Macaca mulatta: one gene and its partner. The protein of the gene in region 1 interacts with the protein of each later gene in a biochemical or structural test. Links are inferred from orthologs where the notes say so. Each region holds a gene or a part of one and is shown on either strand. Other genes may lie near its edges.

Region 1 (3,643 bases):
TCAAACCAAGGATAACCCACTCACTCCCAGTGATGGAAAATTTAAGGGCTAAAATCAGTAGCCACACCAAGAACCCCAGGAACAAAACAGGTGGGTCTTCCCTATTGTTCCTTTTCTAACAATCAACCAATTAATATTTGTTGATGACTGTCTCCACACCATCGTGCTAGCTTAGCTTCTGCAAAGCCCTACAAACATCAGCAGGTTTCAGAAAAGAAGACAAAGGAACAAAACTCAGTGATACCTACTGACATTCTAATGTATTGCCGCCATGTTATTTAATGTTGATAAGCCAAAACCATCTTGTAAAAGAGAAGATGTGCATAGCAGGTCTGGGGAATGAATGAATGAATCCATAGGCTGGTGCGTTAGTTGCATAGGGATGTTACACACCAAGTTTTGTGACCACAGAGGGGTCAGGACATGGACTCTGTCACATGTTGCTCTTAGCACAGGTGGGATCGATATCAAGGTTGTGGACATTTATTGTTTTTACTCATCCAGTGCCTCTTCTGTCTTCTTGTAGTTACAGTGCTCTTGGTTTTTTGAGGTGATCACCTCTTCCTCACTCTCAGTCCCTGGTGGTTGAGGTGAGACTGACCCCAACTCTAGCTCCAGCCATAGGCATGAGCCCAAAGTCTGCTGCTTCATCCAGCATTCCATTCCACTGACCACAGAGATTGGTCTGGGGATGAGCATGTGATATAAGCTGGGCCAATGGGAGCTTTACTTGGGACTTTTGCAGGAATGGCTAAGAAGGAGGAATTATGTTTGCTGGGGTGGATTAGCAGACAGGATTGAGCTCTTGGTAATTGGTGGCCATCTTTGCCACCATACGGGAGAAGCTTGGCTGAGAATGAAATGAACCCAGGAAAATTCAGAGCCAGAAGGAAGAGAGAGACAAAGTCTCAACTTTATCATTGGAACACCTAGACCTAGCCCTAAACCCTTGAACATCTTGGTTAGAAATGCCTAAAAATTCATTTGTTTTTTCTTAAACTAGTTTGAATTGGATTTTCTATATCTTTTGAAGCCAAAAAATCTTGGCTAATCAAAAGGGTTTCCTAAAACTATTGTGCCATCAGAAACAAACATCCTTAAGGACAACTCTATTAAATGGGCAAAGGACATGAACAGACACTTCTCAAAAGAAAACATACATGCAGCCAACAAGCATATGAAAAAATAATATCACTAGTCATTAGGGAAATGCAAATCGAAACCACAATGATATACCATCTCATACCAATCAGAATGGCTATCATTAAAAAGTCACAAAATAACAGATGCTGGCAAGGTTACAGAGAAAAGAGAATGCTTATACATTGTTCATGGGAATGTAAATTAGTTCAGCCACTGTGGAAAGCAGCCTGAAGATTTCTCAAGGAACTTAAAATGAAACTACCATTTGACCCAGCAATCCCACTACTGGGTATATATCCAAAGGAATATAAATTTTTCTACCATAAAGACACATGAATGTATATGTTCATTGCAGCACTATTCACAATAGCAAAGACATGGAATCAACCTAGGTGCCCATCAATGGTGAACTGGATAAAGAAAATGTGATATATATAAACCATGGAATACTACGCAGCCATAAAAAATAAGATCATGTCCTTTGAAGCAACATGGTTAGGGCTGGAGATCATTATCCTAAGTGAATGAATACAGGAACAGAAAACCAAATACCACATGTTTTTACTTATAAGTGGGAGCTAAACATTGAGTACGCACGGATACAAAGAAGGGAACAATAGACCCAAGGACCTACTTGAGGGTGGAGGATGGAAGGAAGGTGAGGACTGGAAAACTACCTAGTGGGTACTATGCTGATTACCTGGATGACAGAATTATCTGTACACTAAACCTCCGTGACATGCAATTTGCCCATGTAACAAACCTGCATGTGTACCCCCGAACCTAAAATAAAAGTTGAAAGAAAAAAAATGAACATGCTTCAGGATGTTTTGAAGGATTCTGTAATTCTTGAGGACCCTGAGTTGCTATACTTGAACCCCTCTTAGACAAAGAATCAATATTTGAAGGCCTCTGCCCTTCTGTTCTCAAATGAGTTTTAGATAACCTATTCCTGGCTGTGTACGGCCAGTGCATAGCAGGAGTGCTGGTTATGGAGGCCAACAAACTGGGGTTTGGATCCCAGCTCCGCCAATGACTAGCAAGCTCCTTATCATTCTCATCTTCATTGTTCTTATCTAGAAAAAGGGTGGGGATAATATCAACCTGTTTTTGTGAGGATTATGCCTCTCCTTATCGCAGTTTTTAACGAGGTATTTGTATGATTATTCGATTCCTGTCTGCAAAGCTTAACTCTACATTGCACTTTATTTCCCAAACTAAAGGGAGGGCCTGAAATGCAGCAGGTGCTTAACAAATATTTGCTGAATAAATATATAAGTCAGTGATTAGAGAAGATCACACAGGTATATGCTTAGCACGAACCAGATGGGTAATATTTTATTATTTATTTAATTTTTTGAGATGGAGTTTCACTCTTGTTGCCCAAGCTGGAGTGCAATGGTGCGGTCTTGGCTCACTGCAACCTCTGCCTCCCAGGTTCAAGTGATTCTCCTACCTCAGCCTCCCTAATAGCTGGGATTATAGGTGTCTGCCACCACTCAGGCTAATTTTTGTATTTTTAGTAGAGACAGGGTTTTACCATGTTGGTCAGGCTGGTCTCGAACTCCTTACCTCAGGTGATCCACCCACCTCTGCCTCCCAAAGTGCTGGGATTACATGTGTGAGCCACTGCACCTGGCCAGTAATATTATAAATACTACCAGGCTCATCAACTCCAAGGCCTACATGGGTCAGGCAGTAATGAACATGGGGTAAGCTGGCTAGATGTGGAATTGGGTGTGTCCTTTCTAAAAAGAGCAGACACACTTAGTTTTAACCAAGTGATGTTCCTTGGGAATGTGGCTACTATGGCCAGATCTTCTTTCAAAAGAAGCCAGAAAATAGAATTTTTAGGTATTAATAAAATTTTCTGACTTTTAAACACAAATGCAATTAAACACACGCACAAACAGGCCAACAAAACATGTCTGAGAGATGGATTTAGCCCTTGGGTAGCCTGTTTGTTACAACCAGGACCCATATCCGGGTCCCTCCTTCATAGAAGCTGTCAGGCCACATCCATGAATGACCCTTGGGTAACCTGTTTGTTACAACGAGGACCCATGTCTGGGTCCCTCCTTCATAGAAGCTGTCAGGCCACAACCATGAATGACCCTTGGGTAACCTGTTTGTTACAACCAGGCCCCATGTCCAGGTCCCTCCCTCATAGAAGCTCTCAGGCCACAACCATGAATGGCCCCACCAGTGCCTGCACCTACCGGCAAGTGACTCGGAACTCTGGTTGGGGACGTTGTGAGATGCCTCCTGGAGGACGTAGGTGGACGTGGACAGGGGCGAAGGGCAGATGCTGCTGGCCGGGACGTAGGGAGGGTTGTAGGATGAGCCGTAATACTGGGGGTACTGGCTCTGGGGGAAGCCAGGGTAGGAAGGATAGTCCTGGGAAGAGAAAAACAAACCAAGGACATGCGTGAGGAAGCCTTTCTGGGCTCGGGTCGTTGGTCAGCCTGGCTGCTCTGTCAGATCAAAACGGTTTCCTAAA
Region 2 (4,165 bases), on another chromosome or scaffold:
GATTTCAGAAAGCGATAGATTAGCAGGATTTATTTGAAACATACAAAATATATGTTTTAAATTTTGTTCAAGCAGTTACATTTAAATACATATCAACTAGCACCATATTTAAATGTAACTAACTTTGAAAATCTTTCAATAGATATTGGTGATAAAGAAATGATAGAGGACAGAGTCCAATGCACAAATGTTTGGGGTGAATCAAGTCCATTGCCTTGTTCCCATATGAGGAGACAAACATCCCGTTTTCCTGCCCCAGCCCAGAGTTGGTGGTTTTGGAGACACAGGACAGGTCATGGGAAGTGGTGCCCAGAGCGGCCCAGTGACCTGAGTAAACACAGGGAGCGCAGCCAGTCTCTCTGATTTCATCTGGAGTCGGCCCTCGGGCCTGGCTTATAGGACGGCCGTTTTGCAACTAAAGGCTAACTGCAACCCTACAATCCCCGATCCTGTGTTACTTGCTAACCCTTCAGCCCCTCGTGTCCCCCTCTCAAACTTCCTACCAACACCCACCCTAACCCATCCTTTCTGGGCAGGGGAAACTTCGCCGCCCGGCACAGGCTGCCAGCGGGCGCCGCGCTCTGGGGCGTCAGTCCCGGCACTCGGTGCCGGTTAACTTCAGGATTCGCTTCCCTTGCCGCTTCCGCCTTCCGAGTGCTCGCGGGTCCTCCCGACTCCTCGCGCCTGTCTCCTCCTTTCTTTCCCCTTATCCTCACAGTCTCTGTCTCCCGGCAAGCCCATTTCAGCAGAATTTATCCTGGCTCTGGTTTTCCACTAAGCAAGAAAGGAAGCAAGATCTTCCGCCCCCAGTCTTGGAAGCGAACAAAGGAAAACCTAAGCGGCCCCTGCGCTCAGATTTCCCCCCAACTCTTTGGCTTCGCAGAGCGCTCTCCCCGCCACAGCCACCTCCCCACCGTTCTTCCGAATCTCTGTCGGAAACTCTACAGAGAACAGAAGGAGCCTGGCCAGGTGGCCGAAGGTGTTGCCCTGAGGTGGGGGAAGGTAGAGACCAATTTTGAAAACATTGCCTTATGAGCTCCAGTGCGAGAGAAGGCTGCGAATGGAGACCCTTTCCTCGTCTGGGCAGGCAGCGCGTTCAGCCAGACCGACGGGCTGCAGTGCCGGGCCACGCGCGAGCGAGCACGACGAGGATCAACCCTTTCTTAATTTGGGGCGCCGGGGAGTAAATGCAGCGCCAACTCTCTCCAGAGCTCTCTTTTTGGTGTGTTTTTAAAAGACCCCGCCCTTTGTCCAGCTACTGAGAAATGAAGCAGGCGACCCCTAATCCAAAAGACTATCGAGAGCGAGCGGTGGAGAACCCGCAAGGAGTGGGGGCAGAGCCAATGTCTCAGACCAGCTTCACCCCTCTGGGGAGCGAAGAGGAGAGAGGTTCGCTAACCTCAGCTCCCACCGAACTCCTTTCCTTGCGACGCCAATCAACACTTCATTGCCCGTTGATTTAGAAACTCACTCTCCACCCACCACTCCAAGCCGCGGCCAGCCAGGGAGGCATGAAAACCAAACCTAGCGCCAATATTTCCCGAAACTCACATCCCAGAGAAACCCACGCGCGGGTGCTCAAAGCAAATGAGGCCCCATTCTTAGCAAGGAACCTCAGAGTTCATGAACTTTCTCTGCAGCGCTGCGGAGGCCTGCGCGCCGCCCCGTGGACGGGCTTCGGCCGGCCAGGAGGACTTGGTGGCTGGTGCCTGCGGGGGCGGGAGGGGGCGAAGGGGAAAGGAAGGCTTCCTGGGGTCGCCCGAGTCGCGGGAAGCACGCCGCGTACCTTTCCTTGGCCTCCGCGGCCCGGTCTCTTTGCCTCCGGTTCTTAAACCAGTTGCTGACCTGCGTGGTGGTGAGGCCGGTAGCTTCGGCCAGCTCCCGCTTCTCGCGCGGCGAGGGGTAGGGATTGTGAGCGTACCACTCCCGCAGGACACCCCTCGACTTCTCCTTGAAGCAGTAGCTGGTCTCCTCGCCGTCCCAGATGGTGCGCGGCAGTGGAAATTTTCGGCGCACCCGATATTTGCCCACGGCGCCCAGGGGTCGGCCGCGCAGCTTCTCGGCCTCCACATAATGCGCCTTCAGCCACAGTTGCTGCAGTTTGGGGTGGTTGTGAGGCGAGAACTGGTGGCTCTCCAGGATCTTGTAGAGCTCACGGAAGTTGCCGCGGTGGAAGGCGACCACCGCCTTGGCCTTGAGCACGCTCTCGTTCTTGTGCAGGTGGTCGCAGGCGGGCAGTGACCACAGGAACCTACCCAGGCGCTCCAGGTTTCCGCCTTGCTGCAGAACCTCGCACACGCATGCCACTTGCTCCTGCGTAAAGCCAAACGACGGCAGCATCGACATGGCTGGGGCCTGCCGGGGCGCAGGGCCCAGGCGCACGCGGCAGGGAGCAGAGCCGAGAGGCAGGGGGCGGCGGCCGCAGGGAGGGGGCGCGGCTGTTCCTAACCTCCTCCTTAGGCTTTGCAAAGGCGAAAACCCGAGTCAGAACTTGGAGGTGGGCAGCCAAGCAAGAGAAGGCGGAGGAGTAGGGTACGCTCTGAACATGGAACCGCCGGCGCACTCAGTAGCCTTTAGGGCCTTGCTGCCTCCGACCTCCCGCCCGGTGGATGCTGCTAGTTGCCGGGGAACTTGGTTTCTGTTCTCCCCGCAGCGGCCTTAAAGCTCGCAGCGTCCCCGGCACGCTGATTGGCTGCGGGCGGCGCCTATCCCGGGCTGGCCAGCCAGCGCGCCGCCCGGCTGGGCAGAGAGGCCGCACCGCCCATCGAGGCCGCACCGCCCAGCGCGGGGAGGGCGAGGCTGAGGAGCTGGGGGTTGGGGGTGTTGCCGGGGCTGCGCAGGGAGGGAGTGGTGGGAGGAGAAGGAAGAGGAAAGGTGGGAAGCCAGTTGGGGTCTGAGGGAGCTGCGCTGCGGAGGTGTGGGGAGATAGAGAGTGGGTGAGCGCGTCAGGACCCTGCAGCGCGGGACCCGTCACCAGTATCACCTAAGGGGAGTCGCGCAAAACTCCGCACAAATCAATTACTCCAAACCTTAATTCCTCCCCTCTCCCTCCGTACTCTTGCTTTCATCCCTTACAAACTTGCCCTTTCCCGGTGAGCTCATATTTAATTACTTTAATGTTGGAATGAATAAATAATGGATTGATGAATAGCTTATGGAACGCGATAAATAATTCAAGAGCAGACCTGGGTCTCCGCATGCAGCCTCTGGAGCAGTGGCTTCTCTTCGGGTTGGCTTCAGCTCGAGAAGCCAACCCTATTTCCTTCCCCCTCCCCCCACCAACTCCCACTGTCCTCCCCCAGCTGCCGCACACCACCCTCCAAAGGGCACAAGTACTCCCAGTCGGACAGCGTTTCCCTCATTCACAAAGGACGTCCATGATTTGAGACCAGGCAAAGAGGTGTTTCGGGCATACTTGCTGAGCACCTAGAGACTCCGAGCGTTCATTTGTGATTTGGTATCTTAATGTTCTGCGGTTGAAACCAGCAGGTTCCTGAAGCTTCTAGACTCAATTTCCCCCATCTGTGCTGTTGCGTTTTCCAATGCCACTTCTGCTACTGAGGAATGCCGAGAAGCTTTACTTGCTATTAGCAAAAAATGCTTTGGGAACCTCGTACGAAAGGCGCTGGATGTGGTGTAAATTAAATAAAATTGTGCCCGGCTCCAATAACCGTCCGGTTGTAACATAATCCTTACCCTGCTCTGAGAGGGACACTGCCCTCAAAGCGAGGACGACAGCGGCTCCAAGAAGATTAAATAAAGAGGGGTGTGTGTGTGTGTGTGTGTGTGTGTGTGTGTGTGTGTGTGTGTTGCAATGCTGGCCTATTTTGCTGCCAAGGAATGAGAGATGTACTGCAATTTAAGTCCCATCATCTGCTGTTTTGTTTATGTGTGGAGAATGCTTAGTAAAACTGCACAAACAAATGAAGTTGTAATTATCTTAAGCCTCATTTGCACACCTGGTTCCAAAGCAATTATTAAAAAGATTTTGAAGACAATTAGCCTCTCTAAACAAAGATAATCTATTGTCGGTAGCTGAGACCAGCAGGAGATAAGAACAATGCGTGGAGATAAGGGAAGCCAAATGGTGGAAGGAGAGTGACTTTATGACTATACTTATCTCTGATTAGATAAGTTCAAAACAGAATTCTAAGTACACTTCAAA

The links.
Region 2: the proteins of EYA2 (region 1) and SIX1 form a complex in vitro, tested with the Homo sapiens proteins (2 studies listed by IntAct, with this or other methods). The link is inferred for Macaca mulatta from reciprocal best matches to the Homo sapiens genes EYA2 and SIX1.

The regions. Positions count from the first base shown.
Region 1 is NC_133415.1:99,877,819-99,881,461, reverse strand, and holds part of EYA2 (protein phosphatase EYA2), read right to left. Parts: intron 3,541-3,643; coding exon 3,363-3,540; intron 1-3,362. UniProt on the Homo sapiens protein: Functions both as protein phosphatase and as transcriptional coactivator for SIX1, and probably also for SIX2, SIX4 and SIX5.
Region 2 is NC_133412.1:133,780,171-133,784,335, forward strand, and holds the start of SIX1 (homeobox protein SIX1), read right to left. Parts: upstream 2,846-4,165; 5' UTR 2,347-2,845; coding exon 1,787-2,346; intron 1-1,786. UniProt on the Homo sapiens protein: Transcription factor that is involved in the regulation of cell proliferation, apoptosis and embryonic development. Plays an important role in the development of several organs, including kidney, muscle and inner ear.